Mytilus edulis: one gene and its partners. The protein of the gene in region 1 binds, or shares a complex with, the protein of each later gene. Links are inferred from orthologs where the notes say so. Each region holds a gene or a part of one and is shown in the gene's direction. Other genes may lie near its edges.

Region 1 (9,268 bases):
TAAATCTTTTCTTGGCTTCTGCAGCCTCCTTCAGTACTTGTAATACAACCCTCGACTTGGAATTCGTTAAAATTGTCTACAATTGAAACTAATGTTATACAATAATGAGAAATTCTAAGCAAATGAAACGATGATGGTACTTGGAAAGTTTAAACTTGTTCCATTTAAAACTACCTTTAGCTGAAAATTGATTTTTAAATATCCCCCCCCTGAAATTTTACATTCATGTTTTTGGTTATAATAACTGATACGACTTTTCTGCAATTTGTTGTATGTCTTATTGGTTAAAAATTAACCCCTAATAAAGTAATGAATTTTCTAGCTGTGTTAAGGACCTATTGGTGGCCTTTGGCTATTTTCTGCTTCATAGTCAGGTTGTTGTCTTTTCGACACATTTCCTGTTTCCATTCTCAATTTAATTTTTTCAGTCAGAGGAGACAGAAACCTTTAATGGAAGAAAAAATATTTTAGGGAGGTTACATAAATTGAAACCTACAGTTCCATCTCTGATGAATGGATGTGTCACTTTGCCAATCTTTTGTCTTGACCCTGCTACTTTATCCAAGAACAAATTTCCTCTTTCAACCAACAGCTTCTTTAATTCTTGAATATTCTGGAATAAAATCATATAAATTGAGAATAAACAAAAACAAAGTACAATTAACTAACTGATTTTTGTCAGAGATTTATTTTGTGACTAAAAAAATACAAATATATTGTGAATATATGCATATATGTATTTCAACACAAAAAAAAAAATCAAACTTGGGTCATTTCTTAATACATTAAGAAAAAGAAAGAGAGTTGTCTCTTTAACAATCCTACCACATCTTCTTACTCTTATAGAAAAAATATTTTCAATTTTTTTTTTAATTAAATATCCAATTAATTGAGAAAAAAAAATATAATGGCAAAGCTTCTGTTTAATTATTAAAAAAAACCACACATCACCTTTGAAGAAGTCCTAGTATACAGTTATTTGGTAGTGCATTTCTTTTAGACAATAAATGGAAATAATAAAAATCCCACCTGCACTTTCTCTATACTATTTTTAGTGTGGTGTACTACTTTTGAGACAAATTATATCAAAATTATAGAAAACTTCATCAGCTCTAACTCAAAATATGGACAATTTTATGTTCAGGGGGTCTTGAAATCTTTTGACAGCTTCCGAAATGCTTATTTTTAACCTTTTTCAGTTGGACCAAATCACTACTTTACTTTAAAATTCATGAATCAAATTTTTTCCCAGTGTAATTTTATCCCCCTACTTGCTATTTGAGGCATAAAACATGAAGAAATAAATTTGGAAGGGGTATACCAAAGATTGGCAAGTAACACACTGTCCACACTAGGGACTATATTTGTGGACAACGAAAATCAAGAAACGATAACTGTGTACTCATCAATTTTGCTCATTTTCTAATTTTACATGGGCATAACTTTTTGTATTTTTTTCTTAAAAAGATGAGAAACTGTGTATAGTTACATACTGAGTATTCTAGTGAAGTAAGTTTGAGTGATATAAATCTTAGGAAGAGTTCTCCAGCTGATGATATAGATGTTGTACTACTGTCGGTCTCAGTTAATATATTTATAGCTTCCTTCAAACTTTCTCTCATTTCCTGCACAGTTTCAACTGCAAAAGAAAACAAGAAGATAATGCAAATGTGTAATTTTATTACAGTAAAACAATGAGTCAGTGTTCTTGTTTTATTTAATTGAATAGATCAATTTGAAGTAAAATGCTTTAAAGATACACTTTTTTCAAAATTATATTTCACACATTGAAGTTTCTCTGCCATACTCATACATGGACATATTTATTCTGGAATGAGAACTGAACAAATTTCAGAGCAATTTTCAAAATCTTAGTGATCTGCATTTAATATCATCTTCATATCCTGAGCATAAATTTGAATCCATAAAAGTTTTAAAAAAATATATAATTGGCTATTAATTTTCCATAATTGAATAATGTCTGTTTGTAAATTCTTATTCATGTTCAGTTCTTGTGATACTAATGTAACACACATTACCTTTATATAATTATGGTATGTCCATGCTTCATCAGATCTGAACACACTTTTAATTGACATAGAGGAAGTCTAGTGATTTCTTTAATTACATGTAAGTATGAAACTTTGGTGGATAGATATCCATTGTCAATCAATCAAAAGAGGGTTTTTCAGGGAGCCTAGGCTCCCTCTTTTGTGGGAAAAAAATGGTTGATTATATAGAGAATCACTCAAGCATGACTGGAGTGGATCCCCTCTTAGGCAGTCAGTCCCCCCCCCCCCCCCCCCCCCCCCAAATATGAATGTGGTCTAATAAACTTTTCCCCTCCCCCACTAGAGTGCAAACCTAAATTCTCCTTCTACTTCGTTGGTAGGGGAATGGGGACTAAAAACACACACACAAAAGCAAAAGAACAGCTCTTGTATTGCAGTTCATTTTCTCAGAGTCATTTATGTTCTTTTAACAAGATATGATTAAAACTTACCTTTACTGATTTCCAGGAGGTGAATTAATGTTTTGATTGCTGCTACAGCTGCTGCCAAATCTGGTTCATTATTAGTAAGATTGGTGAAATATGTCAGTATATCTGTAATATAACAGGTAAACAGTTAAAAATACAGATAAATCTTATATAGTGTTACTTAGGTTGGTAAATTATGTCAATATAGTCCACTTCCAACTTCCAAAAAAGAATTATAATAGTCATTACTGCCTCTAATAAAATTGAGAATGGAAATGGGGAATGTGTCAAAGAGACAACAACCCGACCAAATAAAAAACAACAGCAGAGGGTCACCAACAGGTCTTCAATGTAGCGAGAAATTCCCGCACCCGGAGGCGTCCCTCAGCTGGCCCCTAAACAAATATATACTAGTTCAGTGATAATGAACGCCATACTAATTTCCAAATTGTACACAAGAAACTAAAATTAAAATAATACAAGACTAACAAAGGCCAGAGGCTCCTGACTTGGGACAGGCGCAAAAATGCGGCGGGGTTAAACATGTTTGTGAGATCTCAACCCTCCCCCTATACCTCTAACCAATGTAGAAAAGTAAACGCATAACAATACGCACATTAAAATTCAGTTCAAGAGAAGTCCGAGTCTGATGTCAGAAGATGTAACCAAAGAAAATAAACAAAATGACAATAATACATAAATAACAACAGACTACTAGCAGTTAACTGACATGCCAGCTCCAGACTTCAATTAAACTGACTGAAAGATTATGATTTCATCATATGAACATCAGGCACAATCCTTCCCGTTAGGGGTTTAGTATCATACCATCATAAGTTCATAACATATATGAGAAGAACATAACCCGTGTCATGCCAACAACTGTTTTTAGAATATATGTGTTTAGTTCCGATGCAAAGACCTTATCAGTGACTGAATATTAACGCCAAAATATGCAATCTTTAATGAGTTGACAACAGTATCGTAATTATATCCCTTCTTCAGAAGTCTAAGTCTACCAGACAAAAATCAATCTGACCATAGGTCAATCTGACCTCATAATAATATGATGAATAATCATGATCAGATGATAATTACTGAAAATTTTGGTTATTACCGGAAGAATATTTTTAGGAAACAGTACTAGAGATAAACGACAACAGGTGAAAAACCTTTTTAATTATGAAATCCGTAATTATCAAACAATATCACTTTTATCCCTGGTAGATATTTTTCATTTCATAGATAAAGATTTCAGATATATATAGCAGCTACATTGACTTTACATATGGGCCAGATCAACTAGGCTGGAAAAGCCTGGAATCCACTTGGAACAACATATAACCACTATAAACACCCATAATCTATGCAAACATATGCAGTCTCGAGCTCTTGACATACACGTATTATAACAGATTGTCAGAGTTACTTGTGTTCTGTGGTTTTAATATATTTTAATTCATTTCTCATCAAATAAGGTTTCCCTGTGCCTGCCTGTCCGGTACACATCAAATTGTGACCATCTCTGGCAAGGGAAAACCAAAATAATTAGAAAGGCAGTGTCTGTTCGTACCCGCATGCGGGTACGAATAGCAAAATTGCCGTTCGTAGGCTACGCGTACCCACATCCGGATTTATAATAAATTGCCATCGGATCGGGAATTAAACGTAAAATATATACAGAAATTATCGCAATTAGTGAATAAAATTGATCAACTACTTAAGAAGTTTTGTAAACATTTATATATATGTAAGTGATCAACAGTTTTTCCCGGTTAATAAATATTCTTAAAATGGGAAAAGAGTGATATACAAGTGGGGCAGACATTTCAAAGTTATCATGAATTGGAACAATGTGTTCAAAAGTATCAGTCGATTGATTTTATACAATTGTATATAAAAACAAACTCGGAGTCAATTGCAGCTGCAGAGAAAAGATGAACTGGAAAAACAAAAAATAAAGAGGAAATCAAGTTTTACAGAATATTTTTTTCCTGTCATTCACGGAGGCAAAAAATTCTAAACAAGTTCGACAGGAAAAATGAAGGCCTATACATTATTTCTGAAAAACAAAGGCCGATCATATGCCAATAATCTTCTATGAAAGCTTCGTTAATAGTAAACAAAATGTTTGACAAAAATGTAATTTAAACCTTCAGCGCATCAAAAAATATTTTGCCTCTGAGGCGTGGAAGCAACTTAAAATTCGGAAATTATATATTATCAGATTATAGGACTATAGTTTACAGGGACTGTATATTTCATTTTCAATCAGTACATGTGCATTTAATTTGCAAGGTTTATTATATATTATCAGAGACGTCTCTGATATTATTAACTTATAAATACAATTCGAAAATATTATTTGTCATACCCTTCACTCGTTCTACTCGAAATCCCCATATTATCGATAATTAATGTATATATTTCACGTTTAATTCCCGATTTGATTGCATTTTATTATAAAACCGGATGTGGGTACCCGTAGCCTACGAATGTCAATTTGACTATTCGTACCCACATGTGGGTACGCGCAGACACTGTCAATTAGAAATGAATTAAAAATATATAAACAACAACAAAGCACCTGTCATATAATTTTCATTACCATATGTACATCGAATATGGTAAAATTGAGTAGGAAAATATCGCCTCTGATACTTTAACTATAATGGGATTAGCACAATTGATACTTTTAGATTCTATATCATTAAAAAGAGGGTTTAGTCACAACCTTGTTTTTCCATCTTTTTCTGTTGCAATGATCTGTTCGGTACTTATAATTTTTTTGATCTTCAGAAGATGCGTCTAGAAATTTTCCGAAAGCTCAATTTCATCGGTACCAAACCCTCCTTTCATTGGTCAATTTTCTACTTTCATTTTAATTTTACCAAATCAAAATTATCGTTATGTTAGTGTCTTGGAATCTTTCATCAAATGGAAACATATCATTGATTTCTTTCCCCCTTACGTATGTTCTCCTGAAACAACATGTGAAAAAATTATCTTTGTCCAAGTGTATTTGAAATGGCAGGTAATTGTCTCATTGTCATCACACATAAAACACCTTGTTTTATTAACATGAAAAAGATGTTACCTGTGAAAAGAGACGAAATACGAATTAGTACATATTTCCAATGAGTCCCCCTGTTTACTAAACAAAGGCCAAAGGACAAAGCCATGTTCTATTAGACCTTATCCATATTTTGAAATATGTGACAATGAACTATTAAAGTTTTACAACTATGTCTTCTCTTTTGTTGTGTCATTTTTAAATGCAGTAACAGATTAACTCCACACCCATCATTTTTCCCATACTAAAATATGAATATATAAAATTGATTTATTATGTAATTTTCAGCTACTGTAAGTTTCAAATTAATTGGATAAAATTTATAGTAAAGTAAAAGTAAAGTAAAGTAATCTTTATTTAAAGTCGGGTTGCATATATATACATAATAACAAAGAACATGAGCTCTTAAGAGCTCTTTAACCGACTGATATTAATAAACAAAACATACATGTTATAACATCAGATACACATACAACACAAACATACAGACATCACATATATATATTAATACATAGATAGCACATGCAGAATAAAAGCTAAGCAAGATAGATTAGAACAAATGTCTAATATCAGCACATATACAGTAGCACATAGTATTTATATAACAGTAGCACATGCAAACTTAAACACTTTAAGCACAAACAAAAGACTGCATGCAGCTACAGCAAAGGTAATGCATAAGCAAAAGAAATAAATGGCTAAATAAAAAATAAAAATAACTGCAAAAAAATAAAACATAAAAAAAACCAAACATACCGTGTATAAAAGCCTAAACAGGATTCTACACGTACAGTACAGCCTGTGACTTCCTCTTAGTTATGTCCACCCTCTTGCATGGTCAACATCCAATGGTGAACATTTATTGGGGTATTCAATCTTGAGATGTTGGCCATTTATTGGGGGTCATAAATCATGGGCAGATTTTTTATCTAATTATGTTACCTGTTAAAATCAATCAGGGTTGAAGTTTTCAGCTGGTATGTTTCATTAAATTTTACCTGTACAGGTGACTTGGGTTTCTATCAAAATTGACATTTCACCTTTTTTTGAAAATGTAGAATAAAATATTGTTTTACTCTGTTAATTTATTATTATTTTTTTGTCTTTAATGCTATTTAATTTTTTAATTTTTTAATTGTTTTTTTTTTCATTTTTGTTTGTTTTGTTTCTTACTGTTTTGTTTCTTATTCTTTTAATTTCTTCTTGGTAAGAATCTTGAGTCGAAATGGCAAAAAGTCAAAGCTAAAGTTATTGACTAGCATTTGAAATAAACAGACTTTTAATAATTGTTTTTTAAGTAAAAGGTTTATATAAATACACATGATGTACATTGTATTCAATTGTTTGTTAACATTATTAAATGAGTTATTACTATTAATAATAACTAATAATCATGCAAGTGATATTTTAAATAAAAAAAATGAAAGTAATTAAACAATTTGGTTTCTTAACAAAATAAGATGATCAATATCAATCCTTTTACAATAGATTTTGATAACATCTAACATTATTCAGGAAAACTACAAGTACCATTATATGGTTTAGGAAAAAACTAATTTTGTTTATTTAAATTTTCTTCAAATCTCAAAACAAGAGTTGTGCACAAACAATCACCGAAAAGACTTATTTTCTAAATGTCCACCTAGTTATCATCAAATTTTGATAAATGTTCATTAAAAATGCTAATCATAATGAAAAATGTTCTTATATATCTGAATCAAGTGAATCTTATGAAAAGAAATTATTTAAAGAAATTGTCTTGAAACTTATTAACTTAAGTATGTTATCTTCAGTTTGGTTAATTTCTTTCAAAATTTGTCTCCAGAAAAAATAAAGTGCACTTCTAAAGATGGTGACACTTTAATGGTTTATTAATTAAATCATTTTTTTTCAGTGTATTATATTGTCGATAGTGCTGGACTGGCATGATACATATTCTTGGTATACTTTTAGATAAAGTTAATAATTGCAGGGACTTTAATGAATTAAGACTTTTAAAGTCCTTAATAAAAAATGAATTTAAAGAAAAATCTAAAAATAATAACTTATGATAAAAACTGTAAACTTGATTGTGTCAATTAAGGTAGAGAAGTTTTGGTCATAATTTAGAAATAGAAAATAGTGGGCAATATAAAATTCCTAGAAAGGATAGAATGTGTAAACTGTGCCTCTTGTAGGTCAATGAAGAACACCTATTCCTTGATTGTAAAATTAACAAAACAACTTTGAGATATAAATCCATTTGAAAATTATTTACCTTCTCATTATAATGTCTCTAACCCAAGAACAAAAAGTAAAAGAAATGCTTAACCTCTAAAACATGGATCATGTTTAAAATATCATATGACAATAAAAATATTATCAAATTTTGCTGTACTGAATATTTCTAATACTTATAAAAAATATTTTATTCAATAAAGAAATAATGAATTGCCTAAATTTTATTTAGCTTAAGTCCTAAAGACAATCTTAATCATATGTTAAGATCAGTCTATCTACAATAATAAACCATTTTGATTTTAGAAAATTAATTTGAGAAACACCTTGTCAATAGAAAAAGGCAGGCATTGTAAATATTTGCAGTATATTTGAAAATGAGATTCATTTATTCTTTACTACCAAAAAATAGACTTAATATAAAAAATAACTTAAACTGATCAAAAATTATTTAAAAGGTATAATATCAAAACTAATAGTCAGGAGACAATTATTTTTTAATTAAGCTGTTTGTTCAACAAGTTTTATTGTTTCATTTTATTTTTGAATTTCTTGTCATAATAACAGTCATTAAATTTGACAAACACATACATGTATATTTTACCTGAGACACCTGACCTGTAAGTAATATAATTTTAACACTTCAATGCATTCAAGATTTCCCTTTATCCTTGACTAGTTTTTGATAAATACCTTGTGTATTAAAAAAGCAACAGGGGGTATGATGATGAACATATAGGGCCACCATGGTGAACATATTTTTTATGGCCACCATTAATAAGATAAAGTCACAGGTAGTACAATGTACCACTACAGATACAGATACAGATAACAGCAGGATTCATCAAAGCCAAAGGTCTGAGATAATTAGTAAGAACTTTATGAAGAACGTCACATTAGAGTCTCCTGTAATATTACATTTATAGACATTTGAAGATCTAAATCTGTGCAGCCCATTGCTTGTTGAAAAGGGTAGAAAAGCACTTTTTAAAATAAAAAAAATTAATTGCATACCTGTCAACCTGTGACGATTATGCAGGTTATGACCTGCATTGAAGAATCAAATCTCAGGTCATAACGCGTACGAACTTTTCCGAGCTGAATTTCAGTATTTATGGTACATTTTCTTATAATGTATATCAAAGATACCAAAACATCAATGCATGTTCAGTTTGTTAAGTCATTTTAAATCTTATTAAATAATATGAGGCAGGCATTACCTGTGAATGGGGACGAAGTTTGTTTAAATTATTTTTTTTGTAACTTTTAAAAATATTTGTTAAAATAAAGAAATGGAAATACCGTAACGTTTCCGATTTTGGTTCTGTTGTTAGGGATTTTACTTGTGACGTTATTTAAGTTATGACGTCATGTTTAATGTAAACAAATGACGTCATGTTTAATGTAAACAAAGAAACGCAATGCATCAGGTAACGTTTATTCATAGACAAAGAATGATTAAAAATGAAATATTAGTATTGTGTTCCTTGAGTTCCTAT
Region 2 (8,417 bases), on another chromosome or scaffold:
AAGATATCATATGTAACACATCCGTCAAACCAAAATATCATATGTAACACATCCATCGAACCAAGGTATCATATATAACACATCCGTCAAACCAAGATATGTGTAAAACATCCGTCAAACAAAGATATCATATGTAACGCAATCATCAAACCAAGATATCATATGTAACACATCCATCAAACCTAGATATCATATGTAACACATCTATAAAACCAGGATTTCATATTTAGCACATCCACAAGACAAAAATATCTTATGCAGCACCTCAGTCAGACAGATATCCTATCTAACACATCTATCAAACAAAGATATCTTATGTAGCACATCCACACGACAAATATATCTTATGTAGCACCTCAATCAGAAAGATATCTGATGTAATACGTCCTTCAAACAAGTATATCTTGTGTAACACATTAGTCTAACCAAGATATCATATGTAACACATCCGTCAAACAAAGATATCATACATAACACCTCCATCAAACAAAGATACATAATGTAACACATCCGTCAAACCAAAATTTCATGTAACATCTCCACCAAACCAAGATAATATATGTAACATATTCATCAAATAAAGATATCATATGTAACACATCCATCAGACCAAGATATCATATGTAACACATCCATCAAACCAAGATATCATATGTAACACATCTATCAAACCAAGATATCATATGTAACGCATCCGTCAAACAAAAATATCACATATAACACCTCCATCAAACAAAGATACACAATGCAACACATCCGTCAAACCAAGATATCATGTAACACCTCCATCAAATCAATATAATTTATGTAAAACATCCGTCAAACCAAGATATCATATGTAACACATCCGTCAAACTGAGATATCATATGTAACACCTCCATCAAACAAATATAATTTATGTAAAACATCCGTCAAACCAGAAACCCTATGTATCACATCCGTCAAACCAAGATATCATGATATACCTCCGTCAAACCAAGATAATTTATGTAACACATCCGTCAAACCAAAATACCCTTTGTAACACATCCGTCAAACCAAGATATCATATGTAACACATCCATCAAACAAAGAAAAACATCAATCAAAGAAAGATATCTTATGAAACTCATCCGTCAAACCAAGATATCTTATAAAACATCCGTCAAACCAAGATATCCTATTTAACAAATCCGTCAAAGTCAAAATGTCATATGTAACACATTCATCAAACAAAAAAAGCATATCCATCAAACCAAGATATCTTATGTAACGCATCCGTCAAAGGCAAAATATCTTATGTAACACATCCATCAAACCAAAATATCCTATGTAACATATCTATCAAAGCAAGATATCCCGTGTAACACATATGTCAAATAAATATATCTTATGTAGCACATCCATCAGACAAAAATTCTTATTTAGAACCTCTATCAGACAGATATCTTAATATGTAACACATCTATCAAACCAAAATATCATATCCAACACATCCATCGAACCAAGATATCATATATAACACATCTATCAAACCAAGATATCTTATGTAGCACATCCACAAGACAAAAGTGTCTTATGAAGCACCTCAATCAGACAGATATCTTATGAAACACATCAATCAAACATAGATATCCTATGTAAAACATCTATCAAACCAAAATTTATTATTTAACACATCCATCAAACAAATGTATCATATGTAGCACATCCACAAGACAAAGATATCTTATGTAGCACCTCATTCAGACAAATATCTTATGTAACACATTAGTCAAACCAAGGTATCATATGTTACACATCCGTCAAACAAAGATATCTTATGTGGCACAATCATCAAATCAAGATATCTTATATATCACATCAATCAAACCAAGATATCTTATATAACACATCCATCAAACAAAGATATCCTATGTGATACATTCATCAGACACATTTCTTTTTGTAACACATCTATCGAACAAAGATATCTTATGTAACACTTCCATCAGACAAAGATATCTCATGTTTCACCTCCATCAGACAAATATCTTGTGTAACACATCCGCCTAACCAAGGATTTCTTATGTAAAACCTCCATCAGACAAAGATATATTGTGTAATACATCCAACAGAAATATAAATCTAAGAAACACTTCCATCAAACAAAGATATCGTAGGTGATAACATCTACATCAGTCAAAGTTATTTAAGGTGGTAAAACCTCCATCAGACAGTGATATCTAAGATATTTAAGTCTCCATCAGACAAAGATATCTAAGATATTAACACCCCCACTAGACAAAGTTAATTAAGATTTTAACATCTCCATCAGACAAAGATATCTATGTTGGTAACACATCCACATCCACAGATATATAAGATTTTAATACCTGCAACAGACAACAATAAATAAGGTGTTAAAAAACGCCTTCATTAGTCAAAGTTATTTAAGATGTTAACATCTCCGTCAGATAAAATTATTCAAGGTGTTAGGTGTTAACCCCCCCCCCCCCCCTTTGCCCCCCCCCCTTTGCCCCCCCCCCGACAATGTTATTTAAGGTGGTAACACCTATATCAGACAGTGATATCTAAGGTTTTTAAGTCTCCATCAGACAAAGATATCTAAGATATTTACACCCCCACTAGACAAAGTTAATTAAGATTTTAACATCTCCATCAGACAAAGATATCTATGTTGGTAACACATCCACATCCACAGATATATAAGGTTTTAATACCTGCAACAGACAACAATAAATAAGGTGTTAAAAAACGCCTTCATTAGTCAAAGTTATTTAAGATGTTAACATCTCCGTCAGATAAAATTATTCAAGGTGTTAGGTGTTAACCCCCCACCCCTCCCCCCGACAATGTTATTTAAGGTGGTAACACCTATATCAGACAAAGATATATAAGGTTTTTTTAAACACCTCCGTCAGACAAAGATATATAAGGTGGTAACACGTCCATCAGCCAAAAATACATTAGGTTTTAATATCTCCATCAGACAAATATCTCTAAGGTGTTTACACCTCAGTCAGACGGAGATGTATAAGGTGTTAATACCTCCATCAGATAAATATCTTGAAGGTGTTAACACCTCCATCAGGCATAGATATCTAAGATGTTAAAGCACCTCCATCGTACAAAGATAAAATTGGTCTAAATTGGTGACATCTACATATTACAAAGATATCTCAGTTGGTAACATCTTAATTAGACAAATATGTATAAGGTTTAACACCTCAATCAGACAAAGTCTAAGGTGGTTACATCTCCATCGTTTAAAGATATCTCATGTGTTTACACCTCCGAAGACAAAGATATCTAAGGCGTTATCATCTCAACCAGACAGAGATATCTAAGGTGTAAACACCTCGATTTACAAATATATCTAATGTGTTAACACCTCCGACAGATTAAAATATTCAAGGTGTAAACACTCCATCGCACAGATATCTAAGCTGTTAACACCTCAGTCAGACAAAGATGTATAATGTTTAACACCTCCATCAGACAAAGATATCTAATGTGTCAACACCTCCGAAGACAACGATATTTAAGGTAGTAACTTAATCCTGTTAAAGATACTTAGGTATCAACTCATACTTATAATTATGCCTTGCTTCGGCTGACCTTTTTTACCAGGAACACTGGGAAACTAAGTTTTATAAGACGCCTGCCATTCATCTGTTGTGGTGGGGAAATTGATTTTCTAGATAAATTGCAGATTCTATTTTTTTAATTCTTTTTTAAATGTTTCAGAAGGAAAGTTGAAAATAAATCCATTTGTTGGTTTTCATTGAAACTTAGGGTGAAAAGGGATTCAACATTGAATTGGAAAAAAATATTGTTGAAATTTTAGTTCCTGTATGTTTTTGATATTTTCAAAATGAGTGTTTGTGTCGAGAAAAAAAAAACCTGTTTTCCCACAGAAAAGATGGATGGTTGGTGCATAAATACATATGGAGCTGAAAAACCAAAAAGAATCTGCTTTGCAGAGCCTATCAGTGAATTCAAATTTTAATTGTTCCAGTCCTGACAATTCAATAAATATTTACCACTGAACGTTTAATAAGACAATATAGCTGTCATAGTTTCATATTCAGTCTATCATCAGCCCATTTCGGTGTGTTATTAAATATCGAAGTTTTCAAATAAAAAAAATTCGATATTTGATTTTAAATTTATCAGAGACACATAATATATTGTAAAAATCTAAAAGCAATTCATGAGCCACCAAGATGTCTCTGGTTCTAAATGTTAAGTTAAGTCATCCCTTTGAAATTAAAACAAAACTATTTATTTTTGATCGATTTTATTTGCATTCCTGTTTTTCTAATCGACCTGTGGAAATGTATCAAAGATGTAATGTAGATCACATTGGAATTTCGAAAAAGAATAAATATTGGAAAAGACATTGCGAAAGTCAATGTGTATTGGTCGTGACATATGTCAGGGTATTAGTGTCAGGGCATTAGGGAAACCCGGAATCCGGGAAAATTTCCGCTATATATAAATTAATTTTACCGTCAGAAATCAGAAATAGCCGAATCGTCATTTCGAATCATGGCATCAACAAGCAGAGGGTAAGACACACATTGTATGCGACAATAACTACCCAATAACAGAATTGTGGAAAAGAGACTTTCCTAGAAAAATTGAAACATCCCCCTATAGACCTGTTACCTGTTTAAATTATCTGAGTAAATCACCCCACTTTCATCGCCCGTTAAGAATTTATTTTATATTTAGTCGGTTGGGGATAATCATCAGAACAACCCTTCAAATGAGGGGTAACCCCTCAATGTAATGACTATTCCTGTGATGAGGGGTTTTAATGTTTCTTAAAATTATGATAGAAATATTTTTTTTGTTAAAATCACCTTTTCTACATCTACATCATGACATAAGACGATCCATCAGCACATTGATGACTATACGTCGATGCATCGTAAACAGACTCTTAATAAAATATAACAATTCATGAGTGCAATAATTCAAAAATAATTTTGTCGAAAAAAAAAACAAAAAAACCCACACATTTACATATTTATCCTACCGTAGTCAAAAATCGGTCATCTTGTTTGTTCATTCGGTATTTGTGTTTGAACTTAACTCACGGGGATTCCGGAAACTACTAATTGACGTCACTATGCTACTTCAAGCGTAGAAAATTAGTGCAGAATACGTTTTTTCTACTCTTTTGAATAAAAAAACATGTCGAAAGGTAAGTACATGTATTGCTAAAAAAATGCCAATTTTCTAATGACCGTTTCAATCCTGACTTCATGTCTAAAACTTCACAAAATCCCACTTCCGGCCTCCATTGCTTTGTGTACATTCCATTTAGAATCATCAATCTTGTGGCAGGAAGTACAGGTCAAGCAAATCATATTTTTAGGAACTTAAAAATGACATGCTCCATACATCTTTCGCGATTTTCCCCGCAAAAAAGCCCAACCAAAATGATATTTTAAATATTACAGATATATTTTTTTGTTCCGATTTGTTCCATGTTTTTAAAATTTAGCGATTTTTTTCACAGATTCTGAACTAGAATTAACATTAAATGTCTTTCATGATCGTCTCGCAATACTTGACCACTGTTAGATATTCTTTCACGATCATTTCTCTCATTGAACCGAATGACACCCGTGTAAATATACTGACTTTGGATCAGTATTTTAAACTGATCAAGGGTTTAACACTGATGACGTTTAGTGGAAATAAATTCCACAGTTCAACTGTGAATAGAAGAAAGCTGTACTTGAAGTAATCTGTTCTAGTGCTGAATGTTTCGTATTGAAGGGAACTGGTGAATCATTCTGAATCTGGTGTTTTTGACTGGCTGTGGTATAAGGTAAGGTTTAGATCTACATGTACTGCAATGAGTTTGTGTGAGATTTTGTACATCATTGTTATTTGATTGATGTTCTGCGAGTTTCAAGTGACTTCCATTGAAGAAAGTCAATCATGGAAGTGACACTACTGGTGTTGTGGTACCTGTTGGTGTTTTTTGTACAAAGTAACAAATGAGCACATATTATTATATATTATTTGAAGAAACTTTTCCCAAAGAACTATAAATCTATCTGGCATTACTGGTATATGGTTCAAATAAGTCCAAGAATTTTGTTATATTACTGGACTTGTATCTTCTTTATTATTAAAAATAATTGGACACCTCTTTTAGAAAAGTTTTTTTTAGATATAATGAACTTTCCCCCTTTTAAGTTAAAAGTCTTAAGTTTTTTTGGTTTTTTTTTCTACATCAGTAAACTGACACTGGGCATTGTGATGTCATACTTTCCATTAAAAAAGCATGCCTAGTAGGAATTCATATAAGGTACGAAAGCATGCCTAGTAGGAATTCATATGAGGTAGGCATGCCTAGTAGGAATTCATATGAGGTACGAAAATATATCTGACCATAAATGGCAACATTTTCAGACCATTGTTCAAATTAGAACTAAATAGTCAATACAAATATAATGGCCTCTAAAGATCCTACTCTTTGAAGTTTGTTAACTTTTATTCTGATAATATATCAGTAATCGTGTCTTTATGCAAAATGTTGCCCTTTACCCAAATGTTGCCCTTTACCCAAATGGTTGAGCCATGACTGAAAATATCTGTAAATCCAAAGTTTATATATGTAAACAACATAACATAGGGCAAGTTCAATAATGATGATTTTTACTTTTAGCGTTCAGGAGTTACGGTTCTTGAAAGTTTAAAAAATGTCGTGTCCATGCATTTACTCATGAACCAGTCAACCAAACCTTTTAAAATTTTAATATGTTGTTACTGATAACAAAATGAAGCTCAAGTTTAATAATGACGATTTTGATTTTACCGTTCAGGAGTAACGGTTCTTGAAAGTTTAAAAAATGTTGTGTCTGTGCATTTACTCATGAACCGTTCAACGAAACCTTTTAAAATTTCCTATTAGGAGTTTTGGTCCTTGTAATATTGATAAATGCCAGAACACAAATAAATGTTAAAGAATCTGGTTTACTGTCATTTTGACAGCTCTTGTTGATTATTGGCCCAGTTTTCAAGTTTGTCCAAATCGGGGTCCAAAATTAAACTTTGTTTGATTTCATCAAAAATTGAATAATTGGGGTTCTTTGATATACCAAATCTAACTGTGTATGTAGATTCTTAATTTTTGGTCCCGTTTTCAAATTGGTCTACATTAAAGTCCAAAGGGTCCAATATTAAACTAAGTTTGATTTTAACAAAAATTTAATTCTTGGGCTTTTTTTATATGCTGAATCTAAACATGTACTTAGATTTTTGATTATGGGCCCAGTTTTCAAGTTGGTTCAAATCAGGATCCAAAATCATTATATAAAGTATTGTGCAATAGCAAGAAATTTTCAATTGCACAGTCTTCAGCAATAGCAAGAAATCTTCAATTGCACAGTATTGTGCAGTAGCAAGAAATTTTCAATTGCCACTATTGCGCAATAGCAAGAAATCTTCAATTGCACAGTATTGTGCAATAGCAAATATTTTCAATTGCACAGTATTGTGCAATAGCATGAAATATCTAATTGCACAATATTGTGCAATAGCAAGAAATTTTCAATTGGAGTTATCTTTCTTTGTCCAGAATAGTAGTTGAATCAACTTAAATCATTGTTTTATACAATATACAATGTATATTCACTTTTACTACCAACTGATAAATTAAAACAATCTTTACCATTCAGTGATAACAAGCACTTTATTTTACATTTTAAATTTACTATGTTATGATGTATTTAAATGAGTAGTTATTGTTGCAAACTCCATTAGAAATTTGAATGGAGATCAGTTTTAGAAAAAGGGAAAGGGGGATGTGAAAAAAAAAATGGGGGGTGGGGGGTTAAATTTTTCTTATTTCAGATTTCATAAATAAAAAGAAAATTTCTTCAAACATTTTTTCAACAGCAAAGTGAATTGCTCAAAGGCAAAAAAATTATTTTAAGTTCATTAGACCACATTCATTCTGTGTCAGAAACCTATGCTGTGTCAACTATTTAATCACAATCCAAATTTAGATCTGAATCCAGCTTGAATGTTGTGTCCATACTTGCCCCAACCGTTCAGGGTTCAACCTCTGCGGTCGTATAAAGCTGCGCCCTGCGGAGCATCTGGTTATTTCTGTTGCACAATCCCCACATGATAAATATATTTCAATGAATGACAGTAACACAATTACTATTACTATGTTGTAGTAGACTGTTAGTTATGCTAAGCTTTATGGTATATTTTTCAGACCAAAGACCAAACAGATATGCTGTCCAGAACATCCTTATGCTAACTTAGTAGAAGATTACCATGCTGGAGACATGATCTGTCCTGAATGTGGACTTGTTGTCGGAGATCGGTAAGGCAGCTTTTAGGCTACTCATTGTTGTAATCATTATTATTTGTTGTCAGAGATCGGTAAAGTTAATCG
Region 3 (8,815 bases), on another chromosome or scaffold:
TGGCTGACCTTTAATTCAAAATTCTCATTTGATACAAAAAGAAAAGATTTAAAACCATCAGTATCAAATGAGAATTTTTAATTAAAAGTCAGCCACCTAAAATCATGAAAGTTCTTAACTCGCTTTTCTTTGTCATTGTATAGAAATATAACAAACCAAAAATCTTTTCAATTTAAAAAAAAAATGTAAATTCATAAGGGCTCCATCTGTTGCTCGACATTTATGACTGAATTTATTTTATAATTCAAATTTTTATTGACCAGTCATATTTCCATATAAGAGGGTCCGTGGGGGGAGGGTACTAAATAGAGAATAATGGGCCAACAAATAAAGAATGTAGAAAAATAGAAAAATATAACGAGCAGAAAATATAACACAGAGAAAAAATTGTAGAAAAGTATAAAGAAAAGAGAAATACAATGTGGAAAACTAATGAATAAAGAACTTGAATGAAGGATCCCTGTTCATACCCTCAATAGGTGTGTCGAGTATAAAGACAATGCATGAAATTAATAAACAATACAGGGTAAATATTTAGAAAAATATTTCAACAAGTGAGAATATTTTATTACGGATAGCCATACACATATATAATTTGTAACTTTAATAAAATGCGTGAAATCGAGGAACATACGTTCAAGATTTAAATAAAGTAAATTTTTGAATTTTTAAAATAAAAAAAAAGATGATATTCTTATCCGTGGAATGTTACATAAGAGAAACATAACACAATAACATATATAAGTAAGTAATTACTTACCTTGCTATAGTACTGACGCTGGAGACGGTAAATAAATGTAGTTTTCAACTCAATTTCAAATATATTACTTTTTAAAATGAATATAGTAAACACGGTATCTCCACCGGTGACCTCATGTCCAAACAACGCTTAGTTGATCAGTAGATATGGGGATTGTCCATACATGTAAACAATGTACCTGGAATCTACCTGAGTGTTTACTCAACCCAAACGTAGGTATGTTCTGATACGTTTAAAAATAGCCTTCAGATCAGGTGATCACATTTTTGCGTCATATTATCAACGGGGGTTTCTCAAGTTGACAGGTAAACGAGTAAAATGTGAAACTTTGAAAATTAATCAAAACACGAGGTCACAATTAATCACGGAGTAAATAATGCCACGTGTGGACACTAGTATTCATTGAAAGTAGTGAATTTAAACAAACATCTGTTATGAGGAATTCAATGCGACCCCCTTTTCTGTGATCCATTCAATTTGATACAAATGTATCAAATTCTACTGTACTATCCACATCAGTCACTGATAATATATGTATCTCCGTGCCGGATTCAGAAATTTTCACAACTTGTCACAGGGCCAATTAACTGACTCAGACTATGAGGTGGCCTGCTCCAGTCCTGCCTCTGTGATTCTCTAGTATATTATCTGAGACTACTATATAGTATATAGTAGTCTCAGATATAAAATCGGATAGAGATGCTCTCTTTGACTTTGTTTGCCAAAGAATTCCGAATTTTTCTATACTTGATAATCAGCATAAATTTATTTATTTATTAAACTGTGAAGACAATCAGGTCCTTAATGCTGTTGGTAAATTTATTAAAGTGAATATGAGTTAGTAATTGTATTGTAACTGTATGTAAAAAAATGTTTGTATCTATGTATCTATGCAAATCAATATTCTTTTGCCTTATTCATGTATGCTCTGTATGCCCCTTGTGGGCCCTTAATTGGAAATAAAATATGTTCTGTTCTGTTCTGTTCTGATATAATCAACAAAAAAATTCCCACAAAAGGGGGGGGGTCATATCCTCTTAATCCGCCTCTGTTTCTATACTTGTTTGTATTGATATGCTATTGCTATCAATTCTTTATTAACCAAATGTTTTACAACATATAGGTACACATAATCAATATATACTAACTAAATATATAGATTACTAAAATATACGATCATAACAAAACAGACAGAAGTATTAAATACACAAAAAATAAATACATATAAATATAATTCCAAATAGCAAATATTTGTAACAAATGAATTACAAATCATCTTACTGAAAACAGTAATTTCTGAGCTTAAGTGCTCTAAATATATATTTTCCCAAGTTGCACAAGTCTTTTACATTAGTAGTGCTTAATAATTGTAAAAGTTTATAAACAGATGGCTTACGCCAATAATATGGTTTTATCAAACATTCACGAACATTAGAATATAATGGACATGATAAAATAAAATGCATTTCATCCTCAATATCATGTACAGGTTCTAAGGTTTCTATTAACATTGCTACTATACTCAGGGTATTCGTTGTTTTGTGATAATTATGTGCCCTTCACGAATTTCTATTAATTCAAACACAACATAAGTCAAGGATTTGTATAGTCTCACTATGCAAATCGTTGGTTGGTAGAAGCTGTTAATAAAAAAATATTGTCAGCAATACAAAAACATATAAAAGATAGTAAAATTGCTAATATTATAAATCAAATCAAATCAAATATTTTATTGTCATATAAACTTTACAGTTTGTGACCAACATATATTAATACAATAAACACAATAAACATATATACATACATATTAAACATACAAAATATCAACAGCATTAAAATTTATAACAACAAACAAGTTGTTAAGAGTCCCCTGCCCTCAGTTCTAATGACTTTTTCAAGAAGGATCCTAACTTATTTGTTTGTAAAGGCGATGATGGATTTAGTAAATAATGAATTTTTTCTTCTTCATTTAAATTATTAAAGTTATTATTTTCTGTACATATGTGATGAAAAAAGTCATTTCTTAGAGTTTTATTATACTCACAATATAGTAAAAAATGTTTCTCATCCTCTAGTATTTTACATTTATGGCAAAGACGTTCCTCTCTTGGGATTTTAAAATATCTCCCCTTTTCAATCAAGAGGGAGTGATCACTTATTCTAAATTTAGTGATTAATCTCCTTATCTGAAAATTAGATGTATTTAGATAATATTCTAGTTTGTAATCTTTTTTAAGTTTTTTATAGAGAAAAAATTTACTTTTATCATCGATGTTTTGAAATTTATTTTGAATTAAATCTTCATATCTATTTTTCATTTTTAACTTTATATCGTTTTTTATTTTATTTACATCTTTTATGTCCTTACAAGTAGAAAGAATATTAAGGTCAACGTTAGTCTCTTTAACAATATTTTTAGCATATGTATACCATGAGTAAGTTCCTGTCAAATCTAGAGACTGTGCTAGAGAAAAAGCTTCCTTTAACAATGGATTAATATTATTATTATATAGTCTAGCTAAATATAAAAGGGTTTGTGTTTTAATAAAACATTCTATAGGCAATCTTCCTAATTCAACTCTTGCTCCTAAATTGGATGCATTTTTTCTTATCCCTAGAGTAGATTTACAAAATTTAAGATGCATATTTTCTATGGGGGTTTTGTCTATAAAATCAAGTTGATTAATTTCTTTTCCTGAAGTTAAGGCTCTGCTTTTGGCTCGATGAAAAGAAATATATGTATCCAAATATGTTACTTCTGAATTATAGGTCATAATTGGTTTTACTAAAGAATCAAAAAGATTATTTGCTACTTTTATAGGTAGATTATTCAATGATTTAGTATATGATTTTATTGCAAAAAATACTTTTTTTGCTTTTTTTGTCAGCTCTAAAGTACTTTGTGATAAGTTTCCATTACATTTTATCAACATTCCCAAAAATTAATATTCTGTTACACTCAATATCAATTTTATAATTTTATAATTTTATATTTTTTTTTGTTTGTGTTTATGTGCAACAAGGATTTTATAATAAGAAAATTCTCACTACGATTCCTTCAATCTCATTAAAATCTGATGTTCTGATACGCTACCCTCCACTCAAAACATCGGATTTTAATGAGATTGCAATTCCTTGCAAATGCAAAAAAATGCAATTTTCCGAATTTGATAATTTTTAGCGTCTTATTCAGCTGTGTATATATCATGTATATGCCAACACATGGTATGGCAGTTTTGTTGTTATTTATTATGTTCAATCTACTTTTAAGTGTTTTTCTTGTACAGTATTGATGGACCAGTGAAAAATTCAAATGTGTTTTTAATATTAGCATAATTATTCAACAAGTTGTGACACTACCGTTAATTTTGTTACTACCAATGGGTCGATGCCTCTGCTGGTGGACTATTAGTCCCCGATGGTATCACCACCCCAGTAGCCAGTACTTCGGTACTGGCATGAAAATACGGATTTTTTTGTGTTATTAAAATTTACTGTTACAAAATGATAGGAATAATTATAAATTAAGGAATGTATCTCCCTCATGCAAAGCTCTCATTCCTTTCACGGATTTGGCTATACTTTTTGGACCTTTTGGATTATAGCTCTTCATCTTTTATATAAGCTTTGGATTTGAAATATTTTGGCCACGAGCATCACTGAAGAGACATGTATTGTCGAAATGCGCATCTGGTGCAAGAAAATTGGTACCGTTAATTTTGTTTCAGTATGATAAGAGTATCTCAGCTACCCCTTTATTAATCTCATTTTAATTAGACATATCTGCTCATTTTATACTTGTTGTCGCTAAAATAATTCTTGTTGTCGCTTCTTGTCGCTTGTTGACGCTTGTTGTCGCTTCTTGACGCTTGTTGTCGCTAATTAGTGAGACCCCAAGGTTATGCTTTTTTGTTTGTATTTTGTCCAATAATTTCATTGTGTTTTTGTTGTAATATTGTGTAAAACAATATGTATATAAAAGATCATAAAAAGTAAAAGAATGGAACTTTTCTATAAAGATCTATAAATTACAACAAAGCACATCAGACGCTCCGTAAATTTTATGGGATTCGTAAATTGGTTTGTATTTTGTTGGTACAGTGTGACTTCCGCCCTGATTGAGAAGTGAAAAAAACCAATCAACACTGCTAAAATGAGCTCCAAAGCAAAGAAAAAAGAAGGAGCTGGTGAACCACTGCATGACTTAGAACAACAGTTTATTTTACGCCTTCCACCGGTAATTATCAATATTGTGAAGTTGCAAATACCGCTGTGTTTTGTGTATGTTTTGTTTGTCTATGTTTTGTTTGTTAGACAGTCTGACAGTTTGATTTGTTTTCATCTTCATTCTTCCACAGGAGTTTGAAATCCTATCAATAAGAGGGTAAAAATATACCAAAGTCGACTATCACAGTGTAATAGTCGACTTTGGTATGATAGTCGACTTTGGTATATTTTTACCCCCTTATTGATAGGATTTCAAACTCCTGTGATTCTTCCTATAACAATCATTTACCACATTGAAATTTAGAGGTTGACTCAAGAAAACCCTTTCATCAGAGTGGTACATGTAGTTCTTAGCGGGACTTAGAGCTTTGATATCATATGAGACCATGTTTTTCTTGTATTGTAAACATGGTAAAGGGTTTAGCTTTAAATCCTTGAAAAATATAATTCTTATCACATTTAATATATTTTTTTCCGAAATTACAAATTGTGATATTAAATGATTTATAAAAAATCATTAAAGTTTAAAATCCATCTGTAAGATAAATTACGTTTGAGATAACGTCCATGTCAGTGCATGTATAAATCACTGTTAGAAGTCTGAAGCTGCTGATGATGTACAAACCTATATTAGTAAAGACTATTTTAATTTCAGGGATCTGCTATGGCCTTACGGAGAGAGGTCCAATCAGGGTCTATGACACTTAAAGACAGAATAAGTATAGAACTGAACCAGGATCATAGACATGGAGCTGTTAGATATGGAACAGATATATTTCATGCAAAGGTAAAACTTACACATGTTACAAGGGAGATAAATATTACAAAATATTAGTCACACCCTAGATTTCTTGGGTATGTTGGGAGTTTTGTCTTTTAAAAAATGTAATGTATAACTTCTTTTGGTAAATCATTCTGAGCTACAATAATATATAGTGTACTGATAAATATTATACTATTTCAGAAATGCTGTCTGCCTCTTGATACAATGTATTATAATTTCAAAATTTTAAGTGGGAAAGTTTTAGATACAAATGTACTGGAATTCTTATCATGTTAGTCCTACACACAATAGTGAAAACATCATTTAAAAAAATTCAGCATTTACATCATCTAATTGTAATAATTTTGTTTATTTTAGCTGATGGATTTGCCTTGTGTGATAGAATCTTATAAAACCATTGATAACAAAACAGCTTATAAAACAGCAGATTTATGCCAGGTATGGATATTAATTATAAGAGTTAGATATTAGATAGATAATAGATAAATTTTATTTCCAATAGAGGACCCATTATAGGCATAATCAGTACATTGATTTTTTTATATCAAACAATTGCAATAGACAATACACAAAAAAAATAAAAAAGAAATACAACTGAAAAAAACTTGAAATATAAATTGAATTAACAACACATGTAGTCATGTAAACCAGTATATTAAGTGTTTATTGACCATGCACTAACATCACATCCATTATAAAAATAGCTTTTGAGTTGAGTCCTTCCTCGTGGCTGATGCATATGAACAATTGTTTTGTTGTTCATATGCAGGAGTCACCAAGGGTAGGTGCTTAAAGGACACTCAAGCCAATATATGTTTTTCACACTAATCTACATGTATCACTATCCTGTCAACAATGAAGTTGTGAGTTTGATTTCTGCACATGGCTGGTGCACTCATCTTCAATCTTAATTGACTAGGAATTATCAGTTGTCCTATCAAATGCTGATGGTTCTCTCTGGCCTCCTACACCAATAAAAACTGGTCGCTGCAATTTTGACAAAATTGTATATTAATTAATAGTGTTGAAAGAGGCGTTAACACCAATCAACCAATAACATTATGAAGCAGACAGGGTAATCAAAATCTACTTTCTCCTTTTCCCCTGCTTTCTTCTTTATATCAATTCTTTGTACTTGATTTTTCATTTAAAATTCTTGATTCAAGCATCACTGACCAGTATTTTTTAGACAAATGTATGCCTGGGGGTACAAAACTATATGCCTGTTATCTCAGGTGAGTTTTGATTTACCACTAAAAAATCCTGGATAAGGCTCTGTGTATGGGCCCTTGAAATTTAAGTGAGCTTGCACCTTAATCCTGTTTAAATAATTCCTTTTAGTTTCTCCATTTAGGTCATATTTGTTCAGAAAAAAAAGGGGGATATACATCAGAAATCTTAGACATAAAAAGACAGACAAATCAATATCATAGAGAATCAATTGATTGTTGGTTGCTCAACGTCCAGTGGCAATTATTTCATGCATGTTCAGGATGAGAACAAGATAAATATAAAAACAATGGGTAGGTCTTGTCATAATAGAGGCCATTCCGGATGATGGTCGGAGAACTTTGGACTGCCACTTGAAAATGAGGGTATATTGAATAGGGACAGAAATTTTGCCTTGCAACAGGCCACCTACAGATCCCTCAAAGAGTTTTTGCAAGGGTTCTTAACATGCAAAGAGCATGGCAATTCCAAGAGAATCAAGTTAATCAAACAAACACCCTCTTTTATATATATTTTTATGTGATTGTAAGGATTCTTATAGCAAAAAATTATAATTAAATTTCAGATGCTGCTATGTACAAATGATGAAGAACCCATGTCAGATGAAAATGACAGTCTAAAGAAAAAAGATAAAGATAAAAAGTATCAGTATATTCATGGCAGTAAGTACCAGATTATTCATTAAAGGACATGAAAGTGTTAAATCGGTTATATAAATGGTAATGTTAGGAAGAAGACACAGAAAGAAAATAAAAAATGAGCATGCAGTACAAAAATTACTGTATAGCAGGTTATTATACCCCACGCAACGAAGTTGCGCAGGGTATAATGTTTTTGACCCGTCCGTCCGTCCGTCAGTCCGTCCGTCCGTCAGTCCGTCCGTCCGTCCGTCCGTCCGTCCGTCCGTCAGTCCTGTTTCTTGTCATCGCAACTCCTCTCAAACCACACAACAGAATTTCACGAAACCTTTTCAGATAATAAGGACATACTATGTAGTTGTGCATATCGACGGGAAATTGCGATTCAATTTTTTTTCTAGGAGTTACGCCCCTTTGAACTTATTTACTTTAATGTACTACTGCAACAGTTTGTCATCGCAACTCCTCTCAAACCACACAACAGAATTTCACGAAACCTTTTCAGATAATAAGGACATACTATGCAGTTGTGCATATCGACGGGAAATTGCGATTTAATTTTTTTTCTAGGAGTTACGCCCCTTTGAACTTATTTACTTTAATGTACTACTGCAACAGTTTGTCATCGCAACTCCTCTCAAACCACACAACAGAATTTCACGAAACCTTTTCAGATAATAAGGACATACTATGTAGTTGTGCATATCGACGGGAAATTGCGATTCAATTTTTTTTCTAGGAGTTACGCCCCTTTGAACTTATTTACTTTAATGTACTACTGCAACAGTTTGTCATCGCAACTCCTCTCAAACCACAAAACAGAATTTCACGAAACCTTTTCAGATAATAAGGACATACTATGTAGTTGTGCATATCGACGGGAAATTGCGATTCAATTTTTTTTCTAGGAGTTACGCCCCTTTGAACCTATTTACTTTAATGTACTACTGCAACAGTTTGTCATCGCAACTCCTCTCAAACCACACAACAGAATTTCATGAAACGTTGTAGATAATAAGGACATACTATGTATATTGACAGGAAATTATTATTCAATATTTTTTCTTATACAATTTTTTTTTCTTATACTTAATTAATTTCTCCAATGACAATGTGGGGACGTGGGGTATGTGAGCGTGCTCACTAAGGTTCTTTAATTTTCGCAGGTGTAATATT

The links. Proteins that work in one complex are often made in the same cells at the same time.
Region 2: general transcription factor IIH subunit 3-like (region 1) and transcription initiation factor IIB-like share a complex: the UniProt entries of both Homo sapiens proteins name them as parts of the TFIID-containing RNA polymerase II pre-initiation complex. The link is inferred for Mytilus edulis from reciprocal best matches to the Homo sapiens genes GTF2H3 and GTF2B.
Region 3: general transcription factor IIH subunit 3-like (region 1) and transcription initiation factor TFIID subunit 7-like share a complex: the UniProt entries of both Homo sapiens proteins name them as parts of the TFIID-containing RNA polymerase II pre-initiation complex. The link is inferred for Mytilus edulis from reciprocal best matches to the Homo sapiens genes GTF2H3 and TAF7.

What each region holds. Positions count from the first base shown.
Region 1 is NC_092349.1:84,928,380-84,937,647, reverse strand, and holds the start of general transcription factor IIH subunit 3-like, read left to right. Parts: upstream 1-5,379; 5' UTR 5,380-5,506; coding exon 5,507-5,513; intron 5,514-5,576; coding exon of another isoform or gene 5,577-5,661; exon of another isoform or gene 5,662-5,676; intron 5,677-9,268. Other genes in the region: translation initiation factor eIF2B subunit alpha-like, read right to left, coding at 1-76, 497-613, 1,494-1,639, 2,504-2,605, 5,577-5,661. UniProt on the Homo sapiens protein: Component of the general transcription and DNA repair factor IIH (TFIIH) core complex, which is involved in general and transcription-coupled nucleotide excision repair (NER) of damaged DNA and, when complexed to CAK, in RNA transcription by RNA polymerase II.
Region 2 is NC_092345.1:2,984,390-2,992,806, reverse strand, and holds the start of transcription initiation factor IIB-like, read left to right. Parts: upstream 1-4,443; 5' UTR 4,444-4,534; coding exon 4,535-4,554; intron 4,555-8,234; coding exon 8,235-8,345; intron 8,346-8,417. UniProt on the Homo sapiens protein: General transcription factor that plays a role in transcription initiation by RNA polymerase II (Pol II). Involved in the pre-initiation complex (PIC) formation and Pol II recruitment at promoter DNA.
Region 3 is NC_092351.1:88,525,395-88,534,209, reverse strand, and holds the start of transcription initiation factor TFIID subunit 7-like, read left to right. Parts: upstream 1-4,841; 5' UTR 4,842-4,913; coding exon 4,914-4,997; intron 4,998-5,642; coding exon 5,643-5,774; intron 5,775-6,128; coding exon 6,129-6,209; intron 6,210-7,566; coding exon 7,567-7,663; intron 7,664-8,815. UniProt on the Homo sapiens protein: The TFIID basal transcription factor complex plays a major role in the initiation of RNA polymerase II (Pol II)-dependent transcription.